Arabidopsis thaliana: one gene and its partners. The protein of the gene in region 1 binds, or shares a complex with, the protein of each later gene. Each region holds a gene or a part of one and is shown on either strand. Other genes may lie near its edges. The genes, in order: PnsB4, NdhT, NdhS and PnsB1.

What was found.
Region 2: PnsB4 (region 1) and NdhT share a complex: the UniProt entries of both Arabidopsis thaliana proteins name them as parts of the chloroplast NDH complex.
Region 3: PnsB4 (region 1) and NdhS share a complex: the UniProt entries of both Arabidopsis thaliana proteins name them as parts of the chloroplast NDH complex.
Region 4: PnsB4 (region 1) and PnsB1 share a complex: the UniProt entries of both Arabidopsis thaliana proteins name them as parts of the chloroplast NDH complex.

The regions. Positions count from the first base shown.
Region 1 is NC_003070.9:6,457,109-6,465,361, reverse strand, and holds PnsB4 (NDH dependent flow 6), read right to left. Parts: upstream 4,960-8,253; 5' UTR 4,738-4,959; coding exon 4,672-4,737; intron 4,596-4,671; coding exon 4,554-4,595; intron 4,519-4,553; exon of another isoform or gene 4,467-4,518; coding exon 4,289-4,466; intron 4,189-4,288; coding exon 4,133-4,188; intron 4,045-4,132; coding exon 3,973-4,044; coding exon of another isoform or gene 3,898-3,972; exon of another isoform or gene 3,519-3,897; coding exon of another isoform or gene 3,513-3,518; exon of another isoform or gene 3,369-3,512; coding exon 3,255-3,368; 3' UTR 3,018-3,254; downstream 1-3,017. Other genes in the region: AT1G18740 (ROH1, putative (DUF793)), read right to left, coding at 89-1,237; AT1G18720 (ER membrane protein, putative (DUF962)), read left to right, coding at 5,704-6,066, 6,849-6,911, 7,019-7,090, 7,220-7,342. UniProt on the Arabidopsis thaliana protein: NDH shuttles electrons from NAD(P)H:plastoquinone, via FMN and iron-sulfur (Fe-S) centers, to quinones in the photosynthetic chain and possibly in a chloroplast respiratory chain.
Region 2 is NC_003075.7:5,929,317-5,937,192, forward strand, and holds NdhT (Chaperone DnaJ-domain superfamily protein), read right to left. Parts: upstream 3,160-7,876; 5' UTR 2,837-3,159; coding exon 2,511-2,836; intron 2,425-2,510; coding exon 2,001-2,424; 3' UTR 1,794-2,000; downstream 1-1,793. UniProt on the Arabidopsis thaliana protein: NDH shuttles electrons from NAD(P)H:plastoquinone, via FMN and iron-sulfur (Fe-S) centers, to quinones in the photosynthetic chain and possibly in a chloroplast respiratory chain.
Region 3 is NC_003075.7:12,415,897-12,422,998, forward strand, and holds NdhS (NAD(P)H-quinone oxidoreductase subunit S), read right to left. Parts: upstream 5,569-7,102; 5' UTR 5,450-5,568; coding exon 4,697-5,449; 3' UTR 4,518-4,696; downstream 1-4,517. Other genes in the region: AT4G23880 (uncharacterized protein), read right to left, coding at 1-492; AT4G23882 (Heavy metal transport/detoxification superfamily protein), read left to right, coding at 1,657-1,714, 1,811-1,986, 2,072-2,150, 2,230-2,771; AT4G23885 (uncharacterized protein), read left to right, coding at 3,576-3,645, 3,997-4,142, 4,327-4,344; AT4G23895 (Pleckstrin homology (PH) domain-containing protein), read left to right, coding at 6,987-7,102. UniProt on the Arabidopsis thaliana protein: NDH shuttles electrons from NAD(P)H:plastoquinone, via FMN and iron-sulfur (Fe-S) centers, to quinones in the photosynthetic chain and possibly in a chloroplast respiratory chain.
Region 4 is NC_003070.9:5,484,957-5,493,661, reverse strand, and holds PnsB1 (NDH-dependent cyclic electron flow 1), read right to left. Parts: upstream 4,518-8,705; 5' UTR 4,349-4,517; coding exon 3,924-4,348; intron 3,826-3,923; coding exon 3,675-3,825; intron 3,588-3,674; coding exon 3,397-3,587; intron 3,325-3,396; coding exon 3,067-3,324; intron 2,988-3,066; coding exon 2,882-2,987; intron 2,796-2,881; coding exon 2,710-2,795; intron 2,632-2,709; coding exon 2,463-2,631; 3' UTR 2,359-2,462; downstream 1-2,358. Other genes in the region: CNGC7 (cyclic nucleotide gated channel 7), read left to right, coding at 1-423, 511-723, 822-1,135, 1,221-1,569, 1,639-2,358; AT1G15970 (DNA glycosylase superfamily protein), read left to right, coding at 5,168-5,630, 6,219-6,276, 6,364-6,447, 6,562-6,703, 6,807-7,118; NRAMP6 (NRAMP metal ion transporter 6), read left to right, coding at 8,596-8,688. UniProt on the Arabidopsis thaliana protein: NDH shuttles electrons from NAD(P)H:plastoquinone, via FMN and iron-sulfur (Fe-S) centers, to quinones in the photosynthetic chain and possibly in a chloroplast respiratory chain.

The DNA of each region.
Region 1 (8,253 bases):
ATCAAAAAGGATAAATAGAGAAAAACAAAAACAAAACAAAAAATCCAAACATGAATCATTCATCATATTCAGACAAACATGTGCAAGATCAAAGAGAATCAAGACTCTCAGTTCTGCTTCTCACAATCCGATGGAAAACTTCTCTTACTTTCCTCTCAAACGGATCCAAACCATTTCTCAAAGCTTCACGAACTTGAACAAGCTCATCAACTCTCTGTTTCACCTCAACTTCCTTGTCATCATTCAACGGGAAATGAATCGAATCGATCAATTCATTCATCAACCTCGAACTCTTCTCAATCCTATCAATCTCCTTAAGCAAACCACAACAATTCTTCCTATCTCTTCTCTTAGATTCCTCAACAATCTTATCGTGCAACGACATAACCGGAGCTGCCCATTGGAAATGCCTAGGCACAAAGAAGTTAACTTGCAATCCACGGTCTTGACAAGGAATCGCAGCTACCAAAACCCACATCACAAAAAGCAAAACCGAAGTCATTGTGTAAACCGGTACAGCTAAACCATTGCTAGCAACGACATCGTTTGGTCGAGGCGTTGCCAAGTTACTCGCTAAAGCTTGTAACTGCTTAGAAGCTGACCATGATCTTGAAACACTCCAAGAAAGAGATCTGAAATGACCAATCGAACGGTGGTGACTGTCTTTGACTCTTCCGAATGAACGGTTACGATGAGCTAGATTGGTTCCAGAAGGATGATCTTTCTCGTCAAGCATTCCGATTGCTAAATCAATCAGAGCTTTCTTAGCTCGCCGGAGCTGACCTTCTCCGATCGGACGGTGACTATCTAAAGCAGAGATCACAATATCGGCAAGTTTCTCCCATTGACGGATCTGTTCGATACCGTCGCGGATGGCGTTACAGACATCTAGAGCTTTGATGCTCCGTTCGAAGTAATCTGAAATCAAACGGTCCATCGGAGATTTAGAGATCTGAGATCGGTGGTTGAATACGATAGCTCGAAACTCTTCTTGACAACAGAGGAAAGAATCAAGAAGCTTTCCGATCCATTCGAGAGAGAGAAGGTCGTTTGAAGAAGCGTTGAGATCGATGAATTTCTCAGCGACTTGTCTTTGAAACGAATCTAGCTCAACCTCCATGGTGCTTGGCTCGTGGTGGCTACTACTTCCGGAGACGACTGTTGATGAGTCAACTTGGTCTCGCCGTAAACTTAGCAACGACCTTCCAAATGATCCTTGAAAATCCGTAGCTGGCATCCTCAAAACAGATGCAAAGTGGGAAAAACAATCAGATTTTTGTTTCTGTAGAAAATTCTCAGACTTGTAAAAAAAGAAGAAGACTTTTTTTTTCTTTGTTGGATTGAGAGAGAGTGATGATGATGATTGATGAAAGCTAGAAGAAGAAGAGATGTGTTTATAAAGCGAGAATTTTGACCGCGTATTTTAATATCTGCTTTAGAAACATTCAATATTGGATAATTTTCTCATTTTCCTTAACTAAATAAAAAGAAAGGTGTGACGAAATAAAAGCTATAATTTGATTTGTTGTGTGTTCTCATTCCTTTTTTATTTTCTCTTTTTGTTACTCGGTACAGTACACGCAGTGGACACGTCTAGTGGTAATAAAATAAAAGTACACAGATCTGTCTGTAATAAAATCTCAGTTTGAGGAAATTCATTGGTCACGGGGCTGTGGTATATGAAGTCGAGAATGAGACATTAATGGGTGCCACGTGGAGAAAATGGGAGCTGTGACAGAGACTTGGTCAATGCAATGCACATGTGGATAAAAAGCCAGCTAAGTCTTCGTTGGCGTGTATTGAAGAGAGAGATTGGTAAGTAAAGGGACTCGGTCCTGGTTGATTCTTTCTCGTCGTTCTAGAATGCTCAAGGACACAAAAATGTTGACATGTAATTTTGTCTATATCCTTTTTTTTTTTGGTTTAATGTTAAACTTTACACCAAATAAAAAAAAAGGTGTACATTGTACAATGAAAATCTCAAAAACACACCAAAAAAGGCTAATATAACATTTTATTAAAAGAGATAACTATGAGTTGTATCACAACTAATGAGGTGAATTGATAGAACCAAAGTAAAACTCAAGGAGAGAAATGCTGATAGTGATATCCTCCAGCGAGAAGGAGATGAGACGACTGCGTATAGTGCGTAACAAGAGACTCAGTAGCATGGATGGTACTAGATTCATTTGAGAAAATCGTTTTATTACGCTCATTATTAATCAGATAGATCGAGGTTTGAAGAAGGAGTTTCAAGATCTTACTTACAAAATGTGGAGGTGTGGATTGAACATTCAAGATCCACAAGGAGGCTGACGGAAACGAGATTGTCTATATAATCGTATGATAGTATAAATTTTGTGTTGAAATGTGTAATGGTGTTTTTTGGTAACCGAAAATTGAAATGTATTATTATGAAACTGTATAATGAAAAAAAATAATTATAATGGAATATGGTAAATATGTGTCATTAACAAGTCATCAATCATGTTTGGGCCAGAATTAAAATTGTACAACTATAAGAATTAATTGACACACGACAAAATACACTACATGCAGTGATGCAGATCTTTTTTTTGTTTAAATAAAAATGTTACATCATATCTCCTGTCATGTGTTCCTAACACACACACAAAAAAAAGAAATATCTGAAAATTAAACTTAAATTTGAAAAGAAAACAAAAACAATAAACCACACGTGTGGTTTACAATTACAAGCTCGAAGAGGCTTTGAAACATGGAAGCACGAAGGTTACTGACAAAGACATGACAAGCTCTCCTTCTTCACCTCTGCTAACTTATTTTTTGTTTTTAAAGATTGATTAGTTTTGGTTTTTGTCAGGTAGAATCGTGCAGAAGCGTATTTCCCGCTAATTGTTCCTCATCAGACTCACTTTCCAGTCTATACGACCAATTAATTTAGCCCCAATTGACTAAATTTTTTATACTTAAAAATAATAAATATTCACTCTGACCAACTTGCGACCGAAGAAATCAAGAAAAGCAAATTAAGATAGTTTACCAAACATAATTATTTATATTTTTAAGACATCGGATGTCGTCAACAATAAATTTCTGAAGGAGACAATTGCTCCTAACATGATCGTTCAATGATTCAGAACACAAGACAACAAAGAAGTACATAACATATATTATATATATGGAAGCTAGAGAGTATATATAATGTTGCATGACTGATATAAGAAAATATATAATGTGTATGTAAAGTGGTTTATGATTCACAAGTTAGTTTTCTACTTAGTAACAGCTTCTTCAAGCTCTCTTAAGCCACCAACCTTCTGTTCAATTTCTTCGATAAGTTCTTCACGCCATAGCTCCGCTCTTGCTTTCTCTTCTATGTCTTCTTGCTGCATCATATAACCCAAAACACAATAACAACTCTATCCAATCTTATAATAGTTGTACACATTGTGAATCTGTGATGATATACCAAAGGTCAATGGCCCGAGCAAGCCCAGCCCGACCCAACTTAGGATCAATGTTACCTACCATCAGATCTGTTAACGTTTGAATTATTATATCAAGCCCAACCCGGCTCAAACTTACTAAGCATGATTGATCTATCAATAGGATGGATCAATGTTACCTACCATCTATCAGATTGTGACTTTCGTTTAGATGATCAAGGTTGTGGATTCATATTTTTGGGTGCATATATACCAACGGTAAACGCTAACCTAAAAGCCACCTATTTTTCTTTGTTTAGGGAGGTTTATCGCATGCTGAGACACATGGAGGAGTACTCAAAACCGGCTCTGAACAGGTCTACATGGCCTACTAAGACCAAGGTGGGATAGTCTGAGGTCAAACTAGATCTGAACTGGTCCACAGGGTCTAGTAAGACCACAGCGGGTTGGTCGGTCCATTGCAACATCCCTAGTTATAATTTGTATGCATTTCTAAGTTTTTTTCTTTCTTTCCTAATAGTATTAGAAAGGGAGAGATACATACAGTTTCATAGACCCAATATCCAGTTCCATCCCCTCCATCTCCACGGTACTCCTCTGAGTCGTAGAATGGATCCTGTATTGATCCAATATCACAAAGTACTATTAAGATCCCAATGCAGCAAATGTATCAAAAGATTCAGTTTGAGTTGTTGTTTTCATACTTTTGCTGAACCGAAGTACAAACATCCCCAACAAGTGAACATGATGTAGAACATATCTGCCATATCAAGATCAATATCAAAACATAAGAAAAAGAAGAAAAAAAAGTCTAAGAAAGAAAATAAAATCTCTCAAGAAACCCCAAGTGTTTAACTTACAAACATTCTTGATAGCTTTATCACTTAGATGCCACACGTGTTTCTCTGTAATGATATCACGCATTCCTTCTATTTGTTGAACCATCACAGCCATTAATGGCAAATCATGTGGCAATGCCTTTCTTACACATAAGCTTCCTCTCATCAAATTCCTTTCCCTCTTCTCATTAACATTCTTCTAATTTTTCAAATTCTAAGACGTAAATTCACAAGAATATGGAGATTTTTTTTCTAATTTTAGTCTTAGTTAGAGAAAATTACTTACAGATAGCCAATATCCATGATTCGGTCCTGAATTCTGCTTCGGCTACAACACAATACACAATTCTTAAACTTTTTTTCGTAATGAAATATTTTTGGTAAGAATATAAAATAATATGTACCGAGTGATTGTAGGAAGAAGGAATATGAAGATTTGTGAAGGTGAAACTTGTGAAAGCTTCAGCCATTGTTACTTCTTGATGGTGGCAATGGAGAAGAAAAAAAAAAAATGTTGGTGTAATCTTTTTTATTTTTTCATTTATTTTAATCTTTAAGATTAGATTTTTTGAGGCAGAAAATGTGTGGATAAGGGAATTGGTATCGTCCACTCTTCACTTTTGTGATAAACAAAATAAAAAAATAACGTACGTTAGCAATCACATCGCATAACACTTTTTTTGTCTTTTAAAAGCCCAATTTAGACAATCACAGTACACATTTTAGCCTTCTAAAACGCTCAGGTTGGGAACAACTATTTGCCTTAAAGAGTGGTAAAGATATTTCCAGCAAAATTCAACTACAAACTTTCGTATTTTACCCGTCCAACAAACTTTCCATTCGCGCAGGTTAGCAATCACTAAACACGTTCACTCCTCTAGACGTGCAAGTTAGTAACCACACTAAAATTGCTAATAAATCTTTGGTTGGTGAAATTCAAACTTTCCGCTTATGTCTCTTCCCAAATACATCATTTGTTGAATAGCGTACGTTGGCAACTATTGCCAAACTTTTAATGATATTTCCATCTAATTCAACTTCCTATGCGCGCATGTTAGCAATCATCCCAAATACATCATTCGTTGAATAGTGTATGTTCTATTTGCCAAACTTTCAATGATGTATATCCATCTAAACCAGCTTTTATTCGCGCATGTTAGCAATCACAATAACACGTCTACTCTTCTTAGCGACTAGTATTTTGTCAAAAGTCGGAAGAAAATCTCCGGCCAAGTCAACTTCTATCGCTTTAAAAAGCGCATGTTAGCTATTAAAAAGCGCACGTTAGCATCATTTTCGGGAAATTGCTAATCAAACTTTCCACTTTCGTCTTCTTCCCGTGTATATCTTTAATCTCCTCTGTTTGGTGACTATTATCCAATTTCCACCGATCTTCTCCTCATAAAAACACCTCTTCCTCAACGAATTTTTTATCCATGAGTCGCATAATGGGATTGTTCGATCTCGAGAAACACTTCGCCTTCTACGGTGCTTACCATAGCAATCCGATCAACATTCTAATCCACATCATCTTCGTTTGGCCAATCTTCTTCTCAGTTTTACTTCTCCTCCACTCGTCGACCCCAATTTTCGACCCCTCTCAATTAGGGTTTTCTCAATCGTTGACCCTCGACGGCGTTTTGCGATTTAACGTTGGGTTTATATTCGCCTTGATTTATGCTCTGTTCTATATCGGTTTGGATAAGAAATCTGGATTTGTAGCTGCTCTTATGTGTTTCTCTTGCTGGGTTGGTTCCAGTTTTCTTGCTGTTCGACTAGGATCTTCTCTTGCCTTAAAGGTTAGATTTTTTTTCTCTAATTTCAATTTAGGGTTTTTGAAAAAACTTCATTTTTGGAGAAAATAATTGCGTAGAAGCATGTTTATGAGGGTATATGACTATGTGTATCCATGTGTTGCTCTATGTGTATATTTATATGATGTGAGTGTGGTTCATGCATTTATTGTTCATTGTTTTCTATGCTTTGACTTGAAAGTTCGTTTATATCATTGGTTATGCTCGGGGAAGAAGAAATAGATTTATTTATATCATTAGTCCTCTCTATCTGTTGTCTATGGGTCCCTTCATTAGCTGTTAACGTTGAGACAGCAGTACTAATATCATGTCTCTAGCTTTGAACATTCATGATTAGTAGTTATTGCAGTTTGTTCTGCAATTGTCCACCTTTGCACGGTTCTGATTCTTTGGTCCGGAGACTTGTCATGTTTTTAGTGTTGTTGACTCATTGGTTAAGAGGATTTGATGTGTGCTTGGACGGAAACAAGTGTTGTTCTTGACCACCAACATTTGGATGGTCTCAGATAATTAGAATCTACATCACTTGTTTAACTAAAGTTTGGTTTTTCTTCCATAGTATTTGAGACATCTGTAACTTAGGAGCTTTTTTATGTATCTTCTGTGTTGTGAATCATTTGATTAGTTTATATGTATCTTCAGTCTGAATCATTTGATTAGTTTGTTATATGTATTCAACAGCAAGGGGAAAACAGTTAATACTCACCAAGACGCCAACTCTCTCTGTTATGTAGATACTGTAACAATTTAATTGTCTTTTTACTCAGGTTGGGTTAGCATCTCAGCTGTTATGTTGGACCGGGCAGTTCGTTGGCCATGGAGTATTCGAGGTAAGTTCTCTGGCTTTTAGAAATCATTGTTTTGATTCTCCTTTGTGTCTTGTCATCCGTATACATGAGTCCTAACACATATGTTATTGATTCTTGTCTACTCACAGAAACGGGCACCTGCGCTGTTAGACAATTTACTCCAAGCTTTTCTCATGGCTCCTTTCTTCGTGTTGCTCGAGGTAAAAGTTGTTGGTGTTATGTTATGTTGTGATTTGTTTGTTATCTCCTGCTACCTTATTATACTGCTCTGTGGAAACTGTAACCAGAATACATGAAAAGCTAATGTGGAAATGTTTGAATGAATACAGGTTCTTCAATCGGTTTTCGGGTATGAACCATATCCCGGTTTTCAAGCGCGTGTGAATGCCAAGGTAGAAAGTGACATCAAGGAATATAGGGCAAAGAAGCAGAAGAAGAATAAGATCACATAAGCTTGGATTATATATAACTGAAGAACTTGAACCCATTGTCGTGTTTCTATAACCGAAATGATAATAAGACCACCATGATCCATGGATTGATGTATTTGTGTGTAAACTATGTTTCAATATATTGAATATAATATGTTTCAGTCACTCATGTTTCAAGAAAAATAAACAAAATGCGTTGCATGTATTACAATCACATATTCACAGGTCAATTGTTGTTCCGCTCGACTTGTTTTAGTCCGTTTTGAACCAATCAATTCTTTGTGTTTAACTAATGAGTAAAACTGGTAGCTTAAATATAAACTTTTATGATTCTTTATGTAATCATAAAAACACTAATACAGTATCACCTAAATTAAATTCATATTGATTAAATATGTAGCTTAGTGTTTTATTTATACTAGCTAGCTACTAATATCAGTGTATCATAATAATTAGTATATAAATTATATATAAAAAAATCCGCTTGAGGCACCTAAAATGTTTGGATTCTAAAGATAAACATCTTCTAGATTGGAATTCGGAGGTGGGAGGGAATCCAACTTTCTTTATTGTTGATACTCTAATCAATTTATTAATAGTATCAATCTTGAAAAAATCCTTAGAAATTAGAATAATAATGCAGCGTTGAAAAAAAGAAAGAAGAATACATGAATGTTGAAAGACAGAATAATAGTAATGAAGTGACTAAATATCTAGTTTCCAAAAAAAAAAAAAAAAAAAAAAAAAAGTGACTAAATATCTATCACGTGACTAATATGTAAACGCAAAGCGATACCGAAACGCGTTTTCCATGTGCCCATACTCCATAAGACCATAACGATATCGTCTTAAATGTTGGTTGTAACGACATTATTTTAACATTCTACTTGGCCACGATGTCACATAACTCATGGTGATGTGGATATTTCTCG
Region 2 (7,876 bases), on another chromosome or scaffold:
CACCTAAATAACTAAATGATATGTGTAGATCCTTAATTATATATTCTTCCATGTATAGATATTTCATTCACCCTTTTGTTTATCATTCATAAACTATAATCCGCAGTAGTGCGAATTAAAAAAAAAAAAAGTTTGCGGTGTACTAACTACAGATAACTTTTACGTAGAATTTTTTTTATCCGCATGCGATTTATCGTCCGCTCTAAAAATAAAGTGGTTTTGTCTGTTAGCGATTTAGTGTGCTTTTTTCATTGCATCCATTGAAACCAAAATAGAATACAATAGACTAAGGCCTTGAATGTTTTGTAGATTTTGTAAGAGTTTTTAGATTTTGTTTTTCAAAAACTTATTTTTATACCAATCAAGATTATAAAATTTTGGTTTCCCTACAATTTAGAAAAACTATTTTGTTGTAGTTTTTGATTCATGATTTTAATTTTATAGTTTTCCTAAAACTTAGGGAATCTAGTTTTTACTCCATCAACGTTATTTTTCTCAAAAACTAAAAACCAATTTTTTGGGGTTTTTAAAACAAAAATATAATAACAAAAATCTAAAACTAAAATCTAAAATCTAGAAACTAAAATCTAAATCCAAAAACTGAATCGAAAATCAGCATCCATTCAGGGTCTAAACCAAAAATAAATCATCGAATCATAAATAATTTTTAGTTTTGATGGATTTTTGAGAAAAAAAATATTTAAAAATATTATTAATCTTGAATTTTACAAAAGAAACTTGAAGTCTAAAAATATTATTAATCTTGTAAGGACTGTCAAATGCTTTTAAAGTCTTAACAGTCCAATGTCAATCACCCCCTAAATAAATACTAGTGGTCATAGAAGTAGGAACCACTTTCCCCTATCTCCATTTTTGTATGAATCCATGATTCCATATTCACGTCCATGTTGTATACCCTATTTAAGTATAAAAATAAGAAGATAATCACATAATTTTTCTACCAAAAGACTATTGTTCTTATCAATTTCCATATCCTTGTTTTTCATTTTGTATCAGAACAAAAATTCGTACAATGACTACGAATAACAAGGACACACTTGATCAACTTAAAGTAAGCTTTGACGACGTCCAAGAGAAGCTCGTGAAGATGCATGTAGAAGTAGAAGTCAATGAGAAATTTGCTCACATTGAAGCCTCGCTAAAACAGTTCATTGAGACAATGACAACACAAGCCATGTTCCAAATCAAAATGTGATCGACGACATTTAGTACTTAACCGTTGACGTCTCAATTTGGGTTTCCAGTGAAAGGCTTATAGTGCTTAGTGTGCAGACAATTTTGGCTTCTTCACGTGCTATCACCCTTCATTTACTCAAACTAGTCTGAAAGAACAACAAAATCCTTTATCACTTCATCTAGTTCTATTAGCTTATGTGCGTTTGTTATGCGGATGGACTGAAGTTTGCTTGATAAATTATGCTTCATGTTTTTCTTTTGTCATGGGACCATTTATAGTCTTTTGATTATACTCTTAAACTGTTTTCATTTTTAGTGAAATATTTACATCTTAGGAAAAAAAGAAAAAAAAACGTAGTCAAAATGTGCATCGAACAGTTCTAAGGAACACGTCTAAGGAGGATTGAGTCAGGTGCTACATATATATAAGACTTGATAAAAGGGTATTGTTGCAAAAGGTAGTGAAAAAAGGGTAGTTTTGCAAATCTCCCTAGTTTTTATTCCTACTATACTTCCCAAACTAGTGAATTCCGCATTAGTTATCAAAACTACTATTTTGTTCGCTTTGTTTTATATAAATGAGACTATTTGGATTAGCTAGGTAAGCATAACAAAATATAGCTCTAAAACAATGTTTGGATAGCTTAGAAAAAATCCAAAAATAACACACACACAAAAAAGGTGAGGAACAGAACCACTAGACCACTTTATTTTAGTTCAAATGATCTTATAATCTGTAATTGTTAATCTTCCATCTACATATAAACTATATGAATTTTCCAAGTATATACAAAGCTCCTTACCTAGTAAGAAGGATCTTTGAAAACAATCACAAAAGCTATACAACAAACAGCGAATAATACGATCAAAATATCGAACGTGAGAGCAGTCATTGCTTGATCACTAAGCTCCATGTTTCTTCCACCTAACCGGTCAACCATATCAGGTATTGATTCATAGCCCCTAAAATCTTGCTCTTTCGGATCCTCTAGCTTCATTCTCATTTTCTCAGCTTGACGACTCGCAACTTCTTGAGCCAGTGTCCAGTCATAAAACCTCCGAGTCTCTTCATCGCTCAAAACATTGTACACTTCTCTTAATTTCATGAACTTTTCTGAAGCTGTTTTAAGTGGTAGTGAAGTTGTATCTGGATGATACTCTTTAGATAATCTCCGGTACGCAGATTTTATCTCTTCTAGATCAGCATCCGTTGAAACACCTAAGAATCTGAAAATGATTATTGTTACATGTTACAATACATATTGAAAAATAAAAATAAAAAGATATGTAATGAGAATGTTTGTTTTGCTCACTGGTAATGAGAATCAAAAGAGTCTTTGATTAGTTCTGCAAATTTTTCGTCACTAAGGAGATTGGTTTTGTCCTCATCAACCGATTTGGCCGGGTCGGATCTTCCTCCGATCCAGCCTTCGTCCGGGCTTTCCCAGTGGATTCTTGTGTCTACTCCTGGAGATGGTTTTGACGGTTTAGTCGGGCCTTGTGACGCGTATATACGCGTCACTCTTCTTGCTGTTATCCTTCTAAATGCTTTCGTGTCATCCGTGAAATGCGCGCCGTTTTGGATTTTGGGTAGGATAATGCATGAGGTTCGTGCATAGGTAGAAGTTGCATAAGCCATGGCTCTGTGTTGAAGATGGTTTGTTCTTTTTTTTTCTGCCCTTCATGTTTTTGGTTTCTCTTACCGCAGAAACTTGTTCCAGAACCTCATGATATGTGTGGTGTAGATTTTCTTTATATCTTTTGTTGTCCTATCTAGTGTCCATAGGAACAAAAAATTTAAATAATTAAATGTCAACAAAAAAAAAGTATGAAACGTAAAGATATAAGAGACAAAACGTTGAGAAGAGAGGGGCAATGAGAGGAAGAAATAATGTAGAGATAAATGATTTCTTTCTTTGGAAGCGATGTCTAAATATGTTATGCAACAAATGTGTGCGTTTGTAATATATATAGGGTAAAAATAGACAATTGTATCATAATTAGGATATGACCCGCGATATACCGTAAATTAAATTTATTTATTTATTTTTCTTTATCACAAAATATAATTTGTTGTTTGTTGTTGTTTGTGATGATTAATAATTATCGATAAGGTTGTGTATGTTTTTTATTGAGTCACAATTATGATATTAATAAGTCTAATATATGTTATTTTATCTTTTAGGATTTGACTTGTGATAGACCATACCACGGGATAATATTTTATTTTATTCATAATTTGTTATAAAAAAATTATTTAATATAAACTTTTGGTGTTTTCAAATTTAATCCATGGAACATATGTAGTTTAGTAACTTTATATTAAAATTACACATTTAAATGTATCAAAGAAGAATAACATTTAGAGGTGTCAAAGAAGATTAACACTTATACTAAAATGTTGATTTTATTTATTTTTTTGTAACTAAAAATTTGAAATTAAAATTGTATTTGTTATGTTATTATTGTTTGTTTTGTTTACTATTGTATAGTTGTAATTTGATTGTTAATTCTAGGAGTACACCCGTGGTATCCAAATTTTTCCCATCTAAACTCATAGCACCATATAATCTCGTCTCATCCAAACCCGTCCTACCATGTAAACTCGTCTCCTGTAAACCCGTCCCGCCATATAAATCCGTCCCGTGATAACTAAAAATCAAATTGTTCTTTTTCTTTTTAATAATATTTTTATTTAATATACTTCGAGTCGGTTTACAATTTCAATTTAAAAAGAAAAATTGTATAATATATTGAAATTTTAACAATTTCAATCTAATAAGAATCAATATCGGATCGTTTCGAAGATTTTATATCGAATTCTTTGAACAAAAAATAACACAATTTCTTGTTAAATATTTTGTATCTTTTAAATTAATGTATTTCCTATTTGTATATTTTATATTCAATATATTTGGTTTTGATATAAATTAGAAAATCCGTTTAAATAATTATTAAAATTTGAATCCCGAAGATATTTATGTGATTTTTTATAATTTAAAGATTGTTGTTGAGATTTTTTAGTGTCTATTTTTTGTTGCATTTATTTGTTTGCAAGGTCTATCATAATTAAGGTGAAGTTACAAAAAGATCTGTAAAGTATAATATCGTTCACATATTGATTATAGAATTATTTAGATTATTTTTAAAAAGGAAAAAATTACAACATATGCCATATTTTTTCCAATCCTTATGCAATCTGCCATAATTTGCTGGGCCTTACAACTCATGTCATATTTCATACTGAAATATCGATTTTGTCCCTCTCCATTTCTTCTCTATTTTATCTCTCCTTCCTTGAAATCTGTGCGCTTTAACCATATATTATTATCTTCCCGAAGATGAAGCGCTTTTGTCACTCTCTCACTTTCTTTGACAACCTGCACAGATTCTTTACATGTAACTTTCAATTAAATTTGTCTCTCAATTTTATTCATCACAATATTTCTGTTGTATCTAGATCTTGTCCTTGATTTCATCATTTTTTACCATCTATTTTGGTCCACAGATTAGTTGAGCATTATTGTTTTCACCGACACGATTTTTTTTTCTTCTATTGTAAAACAACAAAAATATTCAGTTATTACATATTATCTTGTCTATCATTCGATCTGACTTTGTCCCCGATCCAATTCTATTACTCATTCGATATGAACTTGTCCCGATATAACATATTATTAAAATATGTTAACGTGTAGGTGAAGACAATAACGCTCAACTAATCTGTGGATCAAAATAGATCGCAAAAATTTAAATAAAATTCAAAATTATTAAATGAGAACAATTGCATATAAGATGTAGGATTCATAATAATAGAGCAAGATGGTGAAATCGAGGACAAAACGTAGATGCAAAAGAGAATTTCTATTCGAGGACAAGATCTGAAGACTAAAACAAAAGTCTTGCTCCAATTGTTCTCCGCTAATAGGTAATCATGTCTCCTAACGCATTATATATTACGTTGTCCCCCGCTATCAGGTAATCATGTCTCCTAATGTATTATATATTACGTTGTCCCCCGCAGAATTTTGGATAACCAATTTGTTTAAATAAGTCATTTTTAAATACCCAATAACAACAGTAGAAGCCAGTTGTTCTCCACTATTTTGTCCCCTAATTCTTTATTCTTCCAGCATGATTTTTCGTCTTGTATCATTACATCAGCCAAAAGCTGTTATGTCACCATCTTCGTCAGAGCGCTGACCCACCTTAAGGATAATTTCGTCCACTGAATTCCACGTGCAGCAAAATGTGGCATGAGTTGGAAGGAGTTACAGAATATGGCAGGGATTGAAAGAAATAGAGTGGAATATGGCAGATTTTGCAAGATTTCCTTTTAAAATTATTTTGTAATTATATGTTTAATTGAAGAAAGATTCTTTTTTTTTTCATGATGCCCTTTTTCAACTCTATCCTTTTATTTTATCCATTTTCATTTCTACCCTCTTTAAATTTTTAATGACCATTTTACCCTTATTTGGAAATTATTTTAGGTTAACAAAATGGAATCTTAATATTTTTTCGCCTAAAATATTCCAAAACAAATTTTCCGCCAAAATTTTCCCGTCAAAAACATTTTCCGCCAAAAGTTTTCGGAAAAAAAATTTCCCGCCAAAATTATTTTTTCAAAAAAAATGATCCCACAAAAATTTTTTTGGGAGGGAAATAGATTTACAAGGGATTTTAAAAGATTTACAGGGGATTTTAAAATGGTTTTAAAATATGTACTAGGAATTTAAAAAGGAAAATTTACAAGGGAATTTAAAAGGTTTTTAAAAGTTTTACAAGAGATTTTAAAAGGGTTTTAAAAGATTTACAAAGGATTTTAAAAGGGTTTTAAAAGATTTACAAGGGATTTTAAAGGGATTTAAAAGATTTACAAAAGTTTTTTAAAGATTTTTAAAGGTTTAAAACTGTTTTAAAAGGATTTTAAAATATTTACAAGGAATTTTAAAAGGTTTTTAAAAGATTTACAAGGGATTTTAAAGGGCTTTAAAAGATTTACAAAAGTTTATAAAAGATTTTTAAAGGTTTAAAATTGTTTTTAAAGGATTTTAAAATAATTACAAGGGATTTAAAAAGGGTTTTAAAATATTTACAAGGGATTTTAAAGGGCTTTAAAAGATTTACAAAGGTTTTTTAATGATTTTTAAAGGGTTTAAAAGTGTTTTGAAAGATTTACAAAGGATTTGAGATAGTGAAATTGATTTGGGGATTTAGGGTTTAAATTTGTTTCAACAGACAAAACGACGTCGTTTGTCTTTGCAATAAACGACATTGTTTTGTTCTAACAGAGCAGATAGACGGAACATTAACGTCGTAAAAAATTATGTTAACCTATTTAATGGGAAGTCAACAAAAACTTTGTCATTTATTTATAAAGTCAACAAAAACTTTACGATTTATTTGTTTTCTCTGAAGTTTAAGATTAAATCGTCCCAAATTTGAAAGTTGGTGATTTTTTTGACATTTTTCCCTTTTAAAATCCCTTGTTAATCTTTTATAACCCTTTTAAAATCCCTTGTAAATCTATTTTCCGCCAAAAAAAATTTACAAGGATTTTTAAAAGCATTTTTTCGGTTGAGGAAAAATTTGTTACGAAAAAAAATTTGGCGGGAAATTTTTTTTTTGGCAGGAAAAAATTTTGGCGTAATTTTCTTTTTGCCGGAAAAAATAAATTTTGGCGGGAAATTTTCAGTTTCCAATTACATGTTCCTATTGGATGAATGTAATTTGGTCATTTTATTCAAGGGAAAGAGTATTTTTAAAAATGGACAACATAAAAGGGTATTGTTGAAAAAAGGTAGTAAAAAAAGGGTAGTTTTGCAAATCTCCCTAAAAAGTTTGGAAAATTATAATATTCAACTTTTGATAAAAAGTTTAACTATTTATAATTTTTGAAACTTTGTAAAGTTTCTATTTTTTAAAATAAAGAACCCGAGTAAAGCGGATAACCACTTTAATTTTGGATGCCTGATAAATCAAGCTTCCTGCTTATTCTTAACCGGAATCATTTTGGTCCTTTTTATAGTATGGCTATGAACCAATGTCCAATTTTTTAAGCAATGTGGGACATTGTACACATATTATTTCTTCATCGATTGAATAATATATGTCCGTTTAAAAAAATTTGAATTACATAATATACAGAAAATATAATATTTTATTATCTATTTATATTTTATATAAATTCAAAATAAATTAAATATAAGATCATATAAATTTGAAAGAAAAATCATATATTTATGTTTAAATTAGGTAAAGATTTAGAAGGGAATTAGTTAATGTAAATAACAAATATGGTTAGTTTAGAGATATTATATATATTAAATTTGTTAATTAAATTAATTTCGTATTCAATTATTTTTTTGGTAGAAAATGGTAATAAAAACCAATTATGGAAGATCCGATTGAAGATTTTTGAGTCAAAATCAAATAAAATTTTTGACCCAATTGAATTCCTTAAAATGTACTTCAAAAATGTTAAGTATATGTTCAAGAACGCGGTTTAAGCTACCGTTTAAATGTTGCTATGTGTATACACAGTGTATTTAAAACACCTAGATTTTACTCGAACCAGTGTTATTAGGTGGAGAGTTAAATTTGGTGAATTATGTAGCCATTAGGGCCGGATAGACGGATTTAATTGTGATAATGTTTTTCTAATTTTTGAGAACCT
Region 3 (7,102 bases), on another chromosome or scaffold:
CATAAGATGCTCCAACTTTAAAACGCTGTCGTTTTTGCATTTCGACAACAACCGTTGAGCTTCATGCTTTGTCATCTTGATCTTAACCCTCACGACCTCTTCCTTCCCTTCAACCATTTTCAAACTCTCTTTTTCTTCCAGAGGATTCTCCTTTGGTTTGAGTTCGTGATCATCATCAAAACTCACCGTCTTCTTTGGCTCGAAGATCTTATTATTCTCTAACTGAAACCTCACAACCTTACGTGGCTTAGCCAGAGGCTTTTTATTCTGTTCATCTTCTTCCTCTTCGCCTTCTTCAAACCTCAGCGATTTGTCAATCCTCTTGGCTCTCTGCAAGCACCGAGACTTTTTGGTCGATTCTACTGAAACCTCCTTTGATTCGTTCAGAGGCAACGTTATGTCTAAGTCGTCTCTGTAGATAGGTTTTGCTTCTAGAACGTTGTCGTACCTTTCTTGAAGCCTGTTGAAGCATTTAGCTAGAGAATCCATCATTTTCTTTTTTTTTCTTCTTCTTCAACAAATAGGGAGAGAAAGGTTTTGTGTTATCTTGAAAGTTTTTCTCTATATAATAAATTTTCGTGGGGCAGAGAATTATATAGGCGACCAACTTTACCATTATTCGGACACGTAGTGAAGTGTGCTTTGGGGTAAGAAGATGACGTCACTTTGCCGTGGGATACTAGAATAGTAGAATTTAATTATTCAAGTTTGCTTTGCTTTACTATGCAAAAAGTGTAAGAACCATCTATTACGTTAATATCTTATAAGCATAATCAAATAATACAAAACAATTGACAAGTCCATTAATTTACAGTCGATGTTGATTTACGGGAAGGTTATATTGAATTGAAGATAACTGGTTAAATTGTAAGAGATCTGAAGGTAAAAATTAGAGATAATCAGTTTTTACCAACGATCGTATAAGTATCTGCGTATGTGAATGTAACCATAGTCTATTGATGAATTTAAGGTAAACCAAGGAAAAGTGATTCTATTGCATCATTAATCAGTCAATAAGCTTTACCATGACTTTAAAGTTTTCTCTAATGTTGCTCTTCTGGAAATGACATTAAGTAAATCGGTCATCTTTATCCAATTTTTAATTATTATCTAGCGGAATAATCAACTACAAGACGTTTTCATATATTTTTTTACAAAAAGAAAACCAACTTTCCACTGAAAAAAATTGGTGCCGTGCCACTGGCGGCATATGACATGGTCAATTACTTCATTTTGAACTGGTCTAACTAAATAATTGAATAATATTTACAAAACCAAGATAAAAAACAAATACGAAAACAAGTGTATATTTGTCACAGATAACAGATTCTTTATGTAATTTGGCGTAAAGTCCGTTCGTCCAAAACCAACCTATTCACAATGTACAATTAGGTCAAGTCGAGTTTTAAACGAGGAAAATTGACAGTATTTTGTATAAGCGCTTCTTGATATGAGAAAGAAAGCCTTGCACAGCAGTAAGGCTGCATAACAAACACGATCTTGGTCATTACTCAAAATCGGAAGATGAATTGAATTAAGAAACTCATACACACCCAAAACAAGTATGTATCTAAGTATCTTCCATTACTAGAAAGTTCAAATCCTCTATTATTGTTTTCTCAATTTTTAAAAAGGAACAGTTACTAGTATAGGGAGATGATTTCGTACGTGGATATTCAACAAATGACGTTACACTTGATTATGAAGATACCAAGTTTGTGGAACCATACTTGTTTTTTTAATCGTTGTCATTTATGATGATAAAATAACAAAGAAATCACATTTAGATTTTTGTTTTTGTTTTTGAAAGGTACAATATCAAGAGAACATGGAAAGTTGTATAAATTCAGGCGAATCCAGCAATATATCAAAACGTCTATGGACTCATTTTTGAAAGTAACTTATCTCATATTTATAGTCGTCTTCTACATTAGAGTTTCAAGTAAAGGTGCTTATGCAATGGCAAACCTATCTCCACCCGTTCGAGTATATTTCTCTCTTACCACCAGAGGTTTTTGCATCTCCTTTAAGAGTTTTCTAACGAGTTTTTTTTTATGTGTAATAACTGTAGACTTGCGTTCTGAGAGTTGGAATCAAGTGTTGCAAAGGCTGCCAGACAAAAGCAAAGAGAAAGTTGCTAAATGTCTCTGGTAATAGATCCACTAGTGAAATATTGTTAAAGCTATAGTGTTGTTATAAATATTCTAGCTAATATTATTTTCGAAACAGGGGTGAGTACAGTTGAGTATAACGCAGAACAAGGGCTCTTGACAGTCACAGGTGATGCCAACCCAACAACATTGCTTCATAAGCTTACGAAATGGGGCAAAAAGGCAGAACTAGTCTCTTTTCTTGGAGACAACTACTCTTCCCATGTTCCTAGAACCCCGGAACAAAACCAAAACAAGACAATGGAGAAGAAAAAGAAGAAGCCAACAAAGTGTTGTCTTCTAATGTGTTTTGGAAATAAGAGAAGCAAGAACACAAAGATTGAGCCTATGGCGATACCAAACTGGCAATATCGAGGAGTAGGAAATGAAAATGGCAATGCCAGGCCTTTCATTAACGCGGCAATGTCACCTCCAATGGTGTATCCTCCTCCACAAGCAGTGCCTGGCTTCACAACACCCATACCATACCCTCCTCCTAGTTTTTTTCCAGGAAGACCACCACCACCATACACTGGTGCTGGTATGTTCCAGTCAGCTCCACCACAATCCCCACCATATTTTCCAGTTCCCAACCCTAGGCTGCATTACCCGCACCACTGATACAGTTCTTTCAGACGATACATTCATTGCCTGTTTCTTCTCTTAGCTATGACTCAAATGCTGAGTAATAATAAGATGGTAAATTCTTTTCAACATGTAAGGTATATGAAGAAATGCAAATGAATGATTTCCACAATAAGGCAGACTAGAAAACACATATAGACAATTAACTTGATAAACTTTTTTTTCGGCCGGACTCATGTTTTAAATGATACCAAAAATAAACATATCTTGTTGGGAAATTAGTAAATATTTTATCAATTTATTAGGATTTTTTATAGAAACGTATATATTATTTAGTGTAGACAATAGAGAGAAACAAAGAAGTGGTTAATACTTTTATTGAGATAACGCGTTGAAAGCTTACCAAATTTTGGTGGATTACGACCAACCACCCAAAAAGATTTTTACGCTTGACTAAGTCCTGGTTCTCTCTTAGTCTCTACCCTTTGCTATCAAACATTCAGTCTGAATCTGAGATTAACATAATTATGGCAATTAATGGCACTCAAACAAAAAACACGATTGAGTCAAAAACAAAAAAGAAATTCCTAGTTTGATTTTTATTTATGGTTTTGACTTGAGAGGGATTTTTTTTGTCCCAACAGAGAAACGAACATTGTGAGGCTTTTAAATGGGTCATATAGACTTATCTGGGCCTAACCACAAAAAATGGCCCACTTTTGGAGAAACTTTGAAAATAAACCCGAAGGTTCGGGAAAATACAGAGAGAGAAAATTTCCAGTCGCCGTCGTCAACATTCTCCTTTTGGTACACAGACGAGAACGAAAGAGCGAAAAGAAGATGAACGTAGTTCACGGTTTGAAGAGGATTCCTCGCATCAAATTCCCTCAGAGACATATTAATCCTTCAGGTTTTCGATTATCCATGAAACTCTCTACACAGAATCTATGTTATTTTTTCCACAATTTTGCTCGGCTTTTTCTCGCTTGATTCGAATTTTTTTTGTGTACGGTTTCATTTTCATGAATCAGATATGAGATTGTATTCATTTGGCTGTGAATTTTTGCTTTCCGATCTATTTCGCTCTGATTGATTTGCATTTACATAGTTAGATTCAAAGGATACACAGATTTGTTTAGCCATTGAATCGAATCGTGTTTGTTATCAAATCTCGAATCATTATAGAGAAGCTCTTATGTTTTTTAGCTTTTGGTTTGGGTAATCATCTGTTTGTTATGCGATTTACTTTCTGGCATTGCAGCTTCAGAGGGAAAGAGTCAGGTGGCAAATGAAGCTGATACATTGTTCTTCTCCAATTTGAACAACATCCAAAAGACTACTGGCGGGAAGGCATCATCGCAGCCAAAGCGCACGCCAGTTTCAAACGAAGAAATGGAAGCCATTTTGGTATGTAACTTCATTTTGACATGTATAACAACACTTAGATGAACATGTATCTAACAGTATAATGTGTGACCAACTACTAAGTTATAATTATGTGACCAATTACAAGTTGAGAGAACCCTTTTCATGATTTAATAATATTGTTCTGTTTCTAACTTCCTTATCCTTTTCTGAATTTTTTTTACAGTTGGGAGGCTGCATCTGATCATTTCAACATGATCTGTTGACAAGAATGGTGGATCACTTCTCATCTTTACCATTTACAGAATATACTCGATAGTCAAGAAGAAACTGATATGGTTGATGTTTACAACAACCAATGATAACAATAAAACTACTCCATTGCAGTTTTTAACTTCTATACTGATTCATCATTGATTGAGTGCATTTGAATCTCTATTATTAAGTGCTTTATGATTGAAATTCATCGTTTATTCTTTTTTTTATATCACATGATGAAGCTCTTTTAGAACCAGTCAGAAATATTGTAGCCTAAAACGCAAAGGTACGTTACATATACATTCACAGGAACTTACATACAGAGAAGAGAAGATCACTTATGGTGCTGCCTCTTCCTTTTGCATCTGTTCGATAAGAGGCTCGAGAATACAAGACTTTGGATTCTTACCCGGTGGACCTTTTTCTCTTCGTTCAAGCTCTTCAAGCCTGAAAGTAATGAGACGGTCCCAGTTTCCTCCTTCGAACAAGACACCAGCTTTTCCATCAGTGATCCTCTGCACAATTCCACAATACATGTGATACGGACTGTTCTGGTTCTTGACTATAGCAATCATCCCCGGCATGAGAAGGGGTAGCTTGGGCGCTTTCGGCTTCTTATCTGTAGCAACCGCGGATGCATCGCTTCCTTGTTTTGCAGGTGGTGGTGGTGGAGGAGGTGGTGGATTTTTTTCGATAAACGTTTTTAAACCCTTTTCGCCACCGGGAAATCCTCCTGTGAGACCCATCATCTCTTTCTCGAAACCATCTTCAGGTACTTTAAAAGACAAGTTACTGTCATCGCTCTCTCTCTCTGTCTCGTTGTTCTCAGCCTTTGATGTCTCTTGCTCGTCTTCAATGTTCCTCTGGAGCTCCTTCTCAATACCTTTCTCTCCGTTGCATAATCCTCTTCCTCCCATCACTTCCCATAGATTGAATTTACCCATGGCCTTTACTTGATACAGTTTTGACTGCTGTTTTGGAGGCGGGAAAACCGACCGGTTTACAGTTGAAAATTGATGTGTTTGGCCTAGAAATTTTGATCGATGAATCGGAGTTCTAATGGTCGGGATAGTGATCGAAGAAGTCGCCATAACTATTTTTGCCTGCAGAGTAGAGTAGAGGTGACTAAGGGAGATATGAAGAAGATGGAAGAGGAAGGAAGAAGCGTGTGATTGATTCGCTTGTTATAATGACCACATATCATGATTTCAGTTAGATGAGTTCTATCTATTTCCAAATTACCAGTGGACCTGAACCGGTTAATGCGTAACCGGTGTTTGGAATAATGATTTAGGAGAAAGAGTAGGAACATTTGGGCTTTGTCATAAGTTTAACCTGGACCAAGTTTGAATATTCTTAAGAGATATGGGCCTAGATTAAAAACAATGGTAATGTAATTAAACATATTGCTAAATGCTAATAATGTGGATTTGTTTGTTTATTAAGAAAAAAGCAGCAAGAAGAAGATAAATCATTTGGGTCAACGACATTAATAATTGGAATCCCATACTCCCAAATCATAATTAGACATACACTTTTGTCTTAGGCTGTCCTTTACACTCATCGGCATCACCAAATACTTAGTTGGCAACTTTGATCAATTAATGTATTAAGCATGAATGAAAACAACTTTTACATTGATTCGATAAATTCATTATATTGTAGATAAGATTAGTCAAAAGTTTACAAACATTCGTTAACAAATTACAAAACTTGTAATATCTGCAGCAATGCCCATGTGGGTAGAGCTGGCTGACGCAACCTAACCGGGGGATAAAAGCGTCTTTTTGGTACCAAATTTAAAGTTTCTTTATGAGTAAAATTCCCAAACCCAACATCTTCTTCCTGCTGAAGCAGTAAGCACTCAACCAAAAAACCAATTGCGTAAACACTTTCCCTTGAATACAGAGATCACATTCGATCAGGTAAAAACAAGGTCTCGATCTTCTCTTCAGTCAATTTTTTCAAATTATTCGAGGTTCCCGTCATTCGATTCCGACTTCCGAGCTTCTATTTCTGCTCAATGTTTTTGTATTTTGTTAGGGTTTCCAGAAAATTCGATTCTGTTGTTTTTAATTTGAGCTAATAAAATCTAGAATGGGAAAAAGAAAGAGTTCATTTTCGTCCTCTTTCTTTTTGTAGAAGCTGAACTTTGTTTTTCTTTTACAGCGAGCTGATTTCTCACAAGGGATATCAAAATTTCTGGTGAAGTGGGATTGTAAAATTCGGCGTTGAAAGATATATAAAGAGGTATGTTTGATCCTCAGTGAGGAATAAGGATTTTTAGTAGTTATATATCTCTCCAAGTGATGATACATACATACTTGTGGATTAGATCTATGATAAGAATAAGCATAAGATAGAGACTGAGAGACAAGTCATTTAGGGAGATTAAATAATGTTCATGGAATGCTAAAGTTCATATAGGAGTTTGTCTCATATCAGAATCTAGATTAGATCATGCTCAGATGACATCTCTTGAATGGACAAAAAAGTTTTTAACTATGTGATTTTTTCGACTTCTTTTGGGGAATCAATGTACTACAAGCTGAGAGTTTTAGAGTAGTTTCATCTCTGGCTAAGCTTTGATTCATTTTCTAGTGGAAGGTTCTGGAGTCGTTTCAATTCATGGATGATGGTACTCCTAAGAAGCTAAACATATTACCTGATCACTTTAGTGCTCCTAGTCCCACAGCAGAATCTTCTCAGCACGATACTCCATCATCTTCGCAGCCAAAGGACGA
Region 4 (8,705 bases), 970 kb from region 1:
CTAATAACCATCGGTAAATCCGTTACAAGAGCGGTTTTTCCAGAAGACTTAAGAATAACAGAGAAGAAAATCTTTGATCCTCAAGACAAAACACTTCTCGTATGGAACAGATTGTTCGTCATTTCGTGTATTTTAGCTGTCTCTGTTGATCCTTTGTTCTTCTATCTTCCCATTGTCGATAATTCCGGAAGCAGCTGTATAGGGATTGATACGAAACTAGCTGTTACAACGACGACTCTTAGAACCATTGTTGACGTTTTTTACTTAACTAGAATGGCTCTTCAGTTTCGTACAGCTTATATAGCTCCTTCTTCTCGTGTGTTTGGTCGTGGTGAGCTTGTGATTGATCCTGCAAAGATCGCTGAACGCTATTTAACCCGTTATTTCGTCGTCGATTTTCTTGCAGTGCTGCCTTTACCGCAGGTAAAACAGAGTGAAAAGATCCTTTGATGGTTACTAAAAATATTGGACTTTTGGGATTGATTATGATGTTTTGTGTGGATATTACAGATTGCAGTGTGGAAGTTTCTTCACGGGTCTAAAGGATCGGATGTGTTACCAACGAAAACGGCATTGTTGAACATTGTAATTGTGCAGTATATTCCGAGATTCGTGAGGTTTATTCCGTTAACATCAGAGTTGAAGAAAACTGCAGGAGCTTTTGCCGAAGGAGCTTGGGCTGGTGCTGCTTATTATCTTCTCTGGTATATGCTTGCAAGCCACGTAAGCGTTTCTATGTATATATGACTCTTCTTAATTAGTGTTTTGAGACATTTATTCATCATTGGTCACTTTCTGACTTTACAAACACATTTTGACAGATAACTGGAGCGTTTTGGTACATGTTGTCAGTGGAGCGTAACGATACTTGTTGGAGATTTGCGTGTAAAGTTCAGCCAGATCCGCGACTCTGTGTTCAGATTCTGTATTGTGGGACTAAATTTGTGAGCAGTGGAGAAACTGAATGGATCAAAACAGTCCCTGAGCTTCTTAAGAGCAATTGTTCTGCTAAAGCAGATGATTCAAAGTTTAACTATGGGATATACGGTCAGGCTATATCTTCAGGCATTGTATCATCAACAACATTTTTCTCCAAGTTCTGTTATTGTCTATGGTGGGGTCTTCAAAATCTCAGGTAAGGCGGGGGCAACTCATTGTCATTGGTTCAACCGATAGCTTGTGCAGAGTACTCTTGACATCTTTGGTGTTTTCATGAACAGCACGTTAGGTCAAGGGCTGCAGACAAGTACATTTCCAGGAGAGGTTTTGTTTTCCATTGCGATTGCTATAGCTGGGCTTCTTCTTTTCGCGCTTCTCATCGGGAATATGCAGACTTATCTTCAGTCACTTACTGTTCGTCTCGAGGAAATGAGGATCAAAAGACGTGACTCAGAACAGTGGATGCATCACAGGTCACTTCCACAAAATTTGAGGGAAAGAGTCAGACGCTATGATCAATACAAATGGTTAGAGACAAGAGGTGTAGACGAAGAAAACATAGTTCAGAGTTTACCTAAGGATCTCAGAAGAGACATCAAACGCCATCTCTGTCTGAATTTAGTTAGGAGGGTAAGTTTTCACAATCAGAATGCTAAAATTGCTTGAGATACTAACTAACTATGTGTTCTGTTTCTACAGGTTCCTCTGTTTGCTAATATGGATGAAAGATTACTTGACGCAATCTGTGAGAGATTAAAGCCGAGTCTTTTCACGGAAAGCACTTACATTGTGCGTGAAGGAGACCCCGTTAACGAAATGATGTTCATAATCCGAGGCCGGTTAGAAAGTGTAACAACAGATGGGGGAAGAAGCGGTTTCTTCAACAGAGGGTTGTTAAAAGAAGGAGACTTTTGTGGTGAAGAGCTTCTGACATGGGCTCTTGACCCTAAAGCAGGCTCAAACTTACCTTCTTCCACAAGAACAGTGAAGGCTCTGACTGAAGTAGAGGCTTTCGCTCTTGAAGCTGAAGAGCTGAAGTTTGTAGCAAGTCAGTTTAGGAGACTTCATAGTCGACAGGTTCAACAAACATTTAGGTTTTACTCTCAGCAATGGAGAACTTGGGCTTCTTGCTTCATCCAAGCTGCTTGGCGTCGCTATTCAAGAAGGAAAAACGCTGAATTGAGACGGATTGAAGAAAAAGAAGAAGAATTGGGTTATGAAGATGAATATGATGATGAGAGTGACAAGAGGCCTATGGTTATCACAAGAAGTGAGTCTTCTTCTAGACTGCGTTCAACGATATTTGCATCAAGATTTGCTGCTAATGCATTGAAAGGGCACAGACTTAGGAGCTCAGAGAGTTCAAAGACCTTGATAAATCTGCAAAAGCCTCCGGAACCTGATTTTGATGCTGAATAATCCAATTCTTGATGAGAGGCCAACATCAGAACAGAGACTACATAACTGATTTATACACATAAATGCTCTATATATAGAACTTGTTTCAGAAACTGTAAAGTTATCTACACGAGAGCCAATGATCCTTCAAAGACCTGCATTGCATTTTTAACAGTTCCAATGTCGATATCTGCTAGTTTTCCAGTCTTCGAAGCAATAATTACACAGTTACTCTTCTCTTCTGCATACGGTACAAAGAGCTTCCCTTTCTCTTCTGAAGAGAACAACCCAATACTGGAAGAAAAAGAAGCACACACATGTTAGTTCTTGAAAACATTGAATCAGTACTCTTTATATTACTCAGGTATTCACCATGGTTTGTCTCGCGCATTAGCTAGTTGAATCGCAGCTGTGTTTGTTGCGATGACTCCAGCAGAATCGTTTATCAGAGCAGCCAACTAAGTAAGCTCAAGAAAAGGAATCAAAGTAAGATCAGTGAATTCAACTTTGTTCATAACAAATACAGACAGATAAGCATGCATACCTGTCCTGGTGTTGTGATGAACACTATAGATGTATCATCACCCACAAAATCTTCAACGTTTTCTCTTTCTTTCTCATGTGGAATCACAAAGACCGGCTTGAATCCCCTGGCATTGTTCACAATCATATCTCAGAGAATTTCAAACTAAGCAAAAAATTCACATTTTGAAGGTGTGTAATAATTACCTTACACCCTTTATAATCTTAGCCCATTTTTCAAGTGAAAGTAAACTATCAGCATCTCCTTTTGATTGCATTGATGCCTTAGAATCTGATTCAATACCATGAATCACTATAAACTTCCCCGTCACTGCTCCAGCATTCCTATACTTTGCAGCCACAACCTCTTTCACTTTCCGTGAAATCGATACCCTAAGTGGCAACAGAGGAGTCCTTGGAACACTCCTAAACGGTCTTCCTAACCAATCTTCCATCTGAGTATACCTGAAACCATCAACAGTCAATTTAGACAGGCGATAAAAAAACCTGCAGTTTCTTCGGTTTCAAGGAACTCACATGCTATAACCTAATTCTGAAAGGTTGGTATTTTCTGCTGTAAAGGTCTCGGACAGCATCAGACCAGCTCCTGCAGAGTTAACATTCGGGTAAATGTAACTAACCCTGTCTCGAGCCGTTGTCATGAACAAGAACGCTGCGTGGCCTAACCCTGCTAGCTTCGTGGACAGAACCATGTCATAGTACCTTCCCTGAAACATGACTTAAAAGAAAAGTTAACTAAGCAGTCTGATAAAGGAAAGATAGAAAAAACGTTGAAATATTTGAAAGTTACAAACTTTGAGGAGTCCGATCATGTCTGTGTATTCAGCTGGTTCAGGCCAATGATCATCCGGATCATACACATTGGCCCATCTCACGTTTTTGTTTAGCTCGTATGTTTGTTTTCCTCTTTCAGTCGTTAATATATCTACCTGAACACCAGGATACCTTACAAAACAACAGAAACGTACGGACAATGTTCTGCATTTCAGTTTAAGGTTTTAAAAAAATGTCGAATCGGAGACAGAGTCTTATACTTTTATTACCTGTCTTTGATTAGCTGAATAGTCGGGAAAAAGAGTAGATTCTCGTAAACGCCACCGGAGATAACGCAGCAACATCGTCTAACATCTCCTCTGATTTTCAACGGTAAAGAAGCAAGCTCGACGGTGTAACCCTTTGGAAACTTCAAGAAGCCGTAAGGGTTATCAGGATTATCCGGTGGTCTTGGATCCTCGTCTTGTTTTCCGTCGGCAAACAAGGACCCGTATTCGTTATCCGGGTCTTCACCGCTATCAAACGGGTCGAGCCACGGATTATTCTTCTTCTTGAGATTGACCGATACATCGGAAGATCTCGACGTAAGACGAGTTTGAAAGTTGAGGAAGACGAGTGGTTTGGAGGTAGAAAACGGCGGCGTTTTAAAGAATGGGGAAATGGGTTTGGGTAACAGAGGAAGTGAAGAAGCCATTGGAAGGTTTTTTTGAGCCAAAGAAAGAAAAGTTTGGATTTTTAAATGTTGTGAAAGAAAACAGATCTCTGTAGGAACTTAGGATAAGTGGGTCCCTTTTGTGGCAATTTTCCGACCATAGAAGAAAACTTAGCATTTAATTTATTTATTTTGGTTATGGCAATTCCAGAAATTATTCTCTGTTCGATTAATTAAAACTTTTGTCTTTACATTGGTTGATACGCACGAGCAAAGAAACATTCCTAATCTCAGAACTCAGAAGCATTAACCAACTGATTACAGTAAGCAATTAAACCATTTAACTTGTCGGGTCGAGCAATAAGGACCCGTTTCATTGTCGGGTCGAGGAACAAAAGAACAGAAAAAGCAGAAGAACCAAACGATGACGTGTTAAGTCGTGACTGGTGAATGACCTTTTCTCCTCGTCTCTCTCTCTCGATTTGATTCGTTTCGTCGTCGATCAGAAAAAGCTTCTTTCTTTCTTTTTTTTTTCTGGGTTTTTCTGAAGTCAAAAGCTTTTTTTTTCTTCATTGTTCAAAGATTTTATTTTGTTGCTCATTGTTTCTAACCTTGCTTTTCTCGTGAACACAGCAAGCAACTTGGTTTAGTTTTACTAGAAGATTCCTAAAAATGAGATATTTAGCGGTGACAAAAAAGTTTCATTTTTGGTGCTAATGTAGCTGTAAAGTCTAGGCCTTCCGATATATAATCTCTTGAAATAAGTTTCGAGACTGTTGGAAATAGCAATTTTGTTGTTGTTGTGTGATCCAGTGATAGATCTGTGAAATCAAAAAGCAGTTTTTTGTGAGAATCGGGTCAATGTCGGTTCCTCCTAGATTCCGGTCCGTAAATTCCGATGAGCGAGAGTTCCGATCAGTTCTTGGTCCTACCGGGAACAAGCTGCAGAGGAAACCACCGGGGATGAAACTGGAGAAGCCGATGATGGAGAAGACCATCATCGACTCAAAAGATGAGAAAGCGAAGAAACCAACTACTCCGGCTTCACCAAGGACGACTCTGAAGCAATGCTCGTCTCTTTGCTCTTCGATTTTGAGAAAGAATAGTGCTTCAATGACTGCTTCGTATTCCTCTGATGCTTCGTCTTCGTGTGAGTCATCGCCTTTGAGCGTGGCGTCTTCTTCGAGCTGTAAGAAGGTTGTGAGGCGAAGTGGGTCTGTCTCTTCTACAAGGAAGCTGAGTGTTGGGAAAGAAGAAGAGAAGGTTTCTGGTGATTGCTTCGCTGATGGTCGTAAAAGGTGTGCTTGGATCACACCTAAAGCTGGTAAGCATCAAACTTTCACCTATCACACATTGCATAGTGAGAGAGCTTTTGACTTTAGATGCATTCAAATAAATGAAATGAGTGAAAATGTGAATGTGAGATTGAGTTTAGCCTGATTGTGTGAGATGATAAAGTTCTTATCTAGTTGAATCAAATGGGACTGAATTGAGACAAGGAGCTAGTGTTTTTTGTTTGATCTAATTATGTTCTTCTGTATGTGAATATTAAGTAATTCAATGGCCAACAAAATGTTTCAATTGCTATGTATTTTATTCAGTGAGCATTGTGTAGATCATTTGCTATGTTGCATAACTTATGAAGTAGCTTGTCCTGAAGTTCTCTTATAAATATTTTAACTTCTCAGTGTCCATGAAATTTAGATGAAGGATGTTTTGATTAGCTGATAGATCCACTTCGTTTATGCTTTTAGTGTAAGCCAAACAGCGTTTTCTGGATTCTCTATACTAATGAGCATAAATGTTTCCATGCCAAGAGGCACTTTCCATTATTCTTTGTTGTTCTCTCATGCTTCATATCTTTCTCTGCTGTAAATTGACTAATAATGTTGCGTTTTTCTACGTTGTAAAGACCCGTGCTATGTTGCTTTCCATGACGAAGAATGGGGAGTTCCTGTACATGACGACAAGTATGTGGCATCCTCAACTATTTTCCTTCTATCTGAGATACACTTTGTAGTTATAAGAGTCTCTTACCGCTTGGTTAACTTGTGTAGGAAGCTTTTTGAGTTATTATGCCTCTCTGGTGCTCTAGCCGAACTCTCATGGACCGACATTCTCTCCAGAAGACATATACTCAGGTAACCAAACCAAGTTCTTTAGTAATATGAATTTTGAATTCGCAATATAAACTTCTGATGCTAAGCCAGTAGCTCTGATCTCTGATTGCCTAATTTGCTTCTTATTTGAAACAGGGAAGTTTTTATGGACTTCGATCCAGTCGCTGTAGCTGAATTGAATGACAAAAAGTTAACAGCGCCAGGTACTGCTGCCATTTCCTTACTATCAGAGGTCAAGATACGATCAATCCTCGATAACTCACGCCATGTGCGCAAGGTAACAGAACATAAGCTCACACTTACTGATCATAATTACTGAAAACTTAGAACTTGTCTAAATATTATAATCTGTCTGCCTGTTAATTCTTAACTTCATCCAGATTATAGCTGAATGTGGATCATTGAAGAAGTACATGTGGAACTTTGTGAACAACAAGCCTACACAGAGCCAATTCAGGTATCAGCGCCAAGTCCCTGTGAAGACATCGAAAGCTGAGTTTATAAGCAAAGATCTTGTACGCAGAGGCTTTCGCAGCGTTAGTCCAACAGTTATTTACTCCTTCATGCAAGCAGCTGGACTCACGAATGATCATCTCATAGGCTGCTTCAGATACCAAGACTGTTGCGTAGATGCAGAGACAACAACAACAACGAAGGCGAAGAAGAAGAACGAGAGAGAGAGTGATAAATAAGAGCCATTCTGAAATAAGCTAATTAACGTATTTGAGTACCAATGTTGTTTGTTCTGCTTCCAGAGATTAATTGACACAACGAGGTTTTGTTACCGTGACGTGTTCTTAGTTTTGTATTTTGGTGTTGTATAGATGTATTTTGGTTATCGGTTCATGCATAGTAGAATGTTGCGATGAACTCTTAGACCAGACGTATTTGTGTGAATCGATTACATGCTACATTTTAATTTAGCTTATTTCAAACTGGAAGGAAAAAATTGTTTTGAGTTTAGATTCCTTGATTTTATATCACCGATCGAGTTGTGAAAAAACGATTCTTGATAAATAACGGCCATGCATTGTGGACGTCAAATTCATCTTTGGCATATTCTCTAATAACTTTTTTTGTGGACATATATAATCGAAACCAATGGTTGGTATGTTATATAGCCTTTGGTAGGCATCTCAGTCAAATTACAAGTTTTTTTTTATATTCATCCGGGGATGAACATACAAGAAATGAAGAAAGTACTAGTAAATTCTTAATCTCTTTGGTTTTTTTGTTTCCTCAACTCTTTTCTTATAAACTCGAGAAATGGAAGGGCTATACTAATTAGGTGTCATTGAATCTTGATATGTCAACAAGATTTACGTGTCGATTATAATAAGAAACAGAGAAAAACTTGATATGGTATTGAGTGTTGTCTACTGACTATCGAATCTTACCAAAACAAAAAAAAGTGTACGGATCCCACTTGTTGTCATAAGTCGTAACCACGCGTACTTCCTTGTGGAGTTGTGGGCTCCTTGTTTTATCTTTACCGTTAAGTTGGCCACTTGGCCCTATTTCACAATCGCTTCTTCTTTACTACTCCGGGGATTATGATTATTTTGGTAGAGAACTTTTCTATTACGTTTTGGCTTATTACTAAGTTTTAAGCTGAGGACAAGAAAATTGAAAGTTTTTTTTACGTATCATTTACTGCTAATTTTAGAAGAATATCTGATTTAGCTTTTCCTACGCATTTTAACTTCCCTAATTAGAAGAAATAAAATAACTTGGAGTTGAAGTTTTCTGTAAACGAAGATTTAGTTAAAGGGAGGGAAAGAGGGAATTGTGGTAAACTTTTGATAAGTACGCTTTACTTCTTATATTTTCGATAGAAAATCGACACATGTAGATTAGATTGCCAAAGCATTAACTACCAAATTAGAAAACAAAATTCAATAATTATATACTCCATTATTCCTTAGAACAACCCCTTCCCTTTTTAGTCAAAACTTGTAATCATCATTTGTTAAAATCTTTCCCAAAAAAGATAGTTTTGGCATTTGCATTAATGAAAAAAAATGAAGGAAAAAGATTTGCATTAATTCAATATTTCTCTGACATTTGACCAAACGCCATGTAGTGTGTATAAATATATCTCTGCATGTAAATTGTTGATGTTGGCATTATAGATAGGGAGAGAAGAGACGTAACAGAGAGAGGCAGGAGATGGCGGCTGAAACAGCAAGTGGCAGCAACAGAAGTATCTCAAACTCTCCTCTCATAGAAAACTCTGATTCTAATCAGATTCTTGTCCCTGAGGTTTCTTCTCGTCTCTT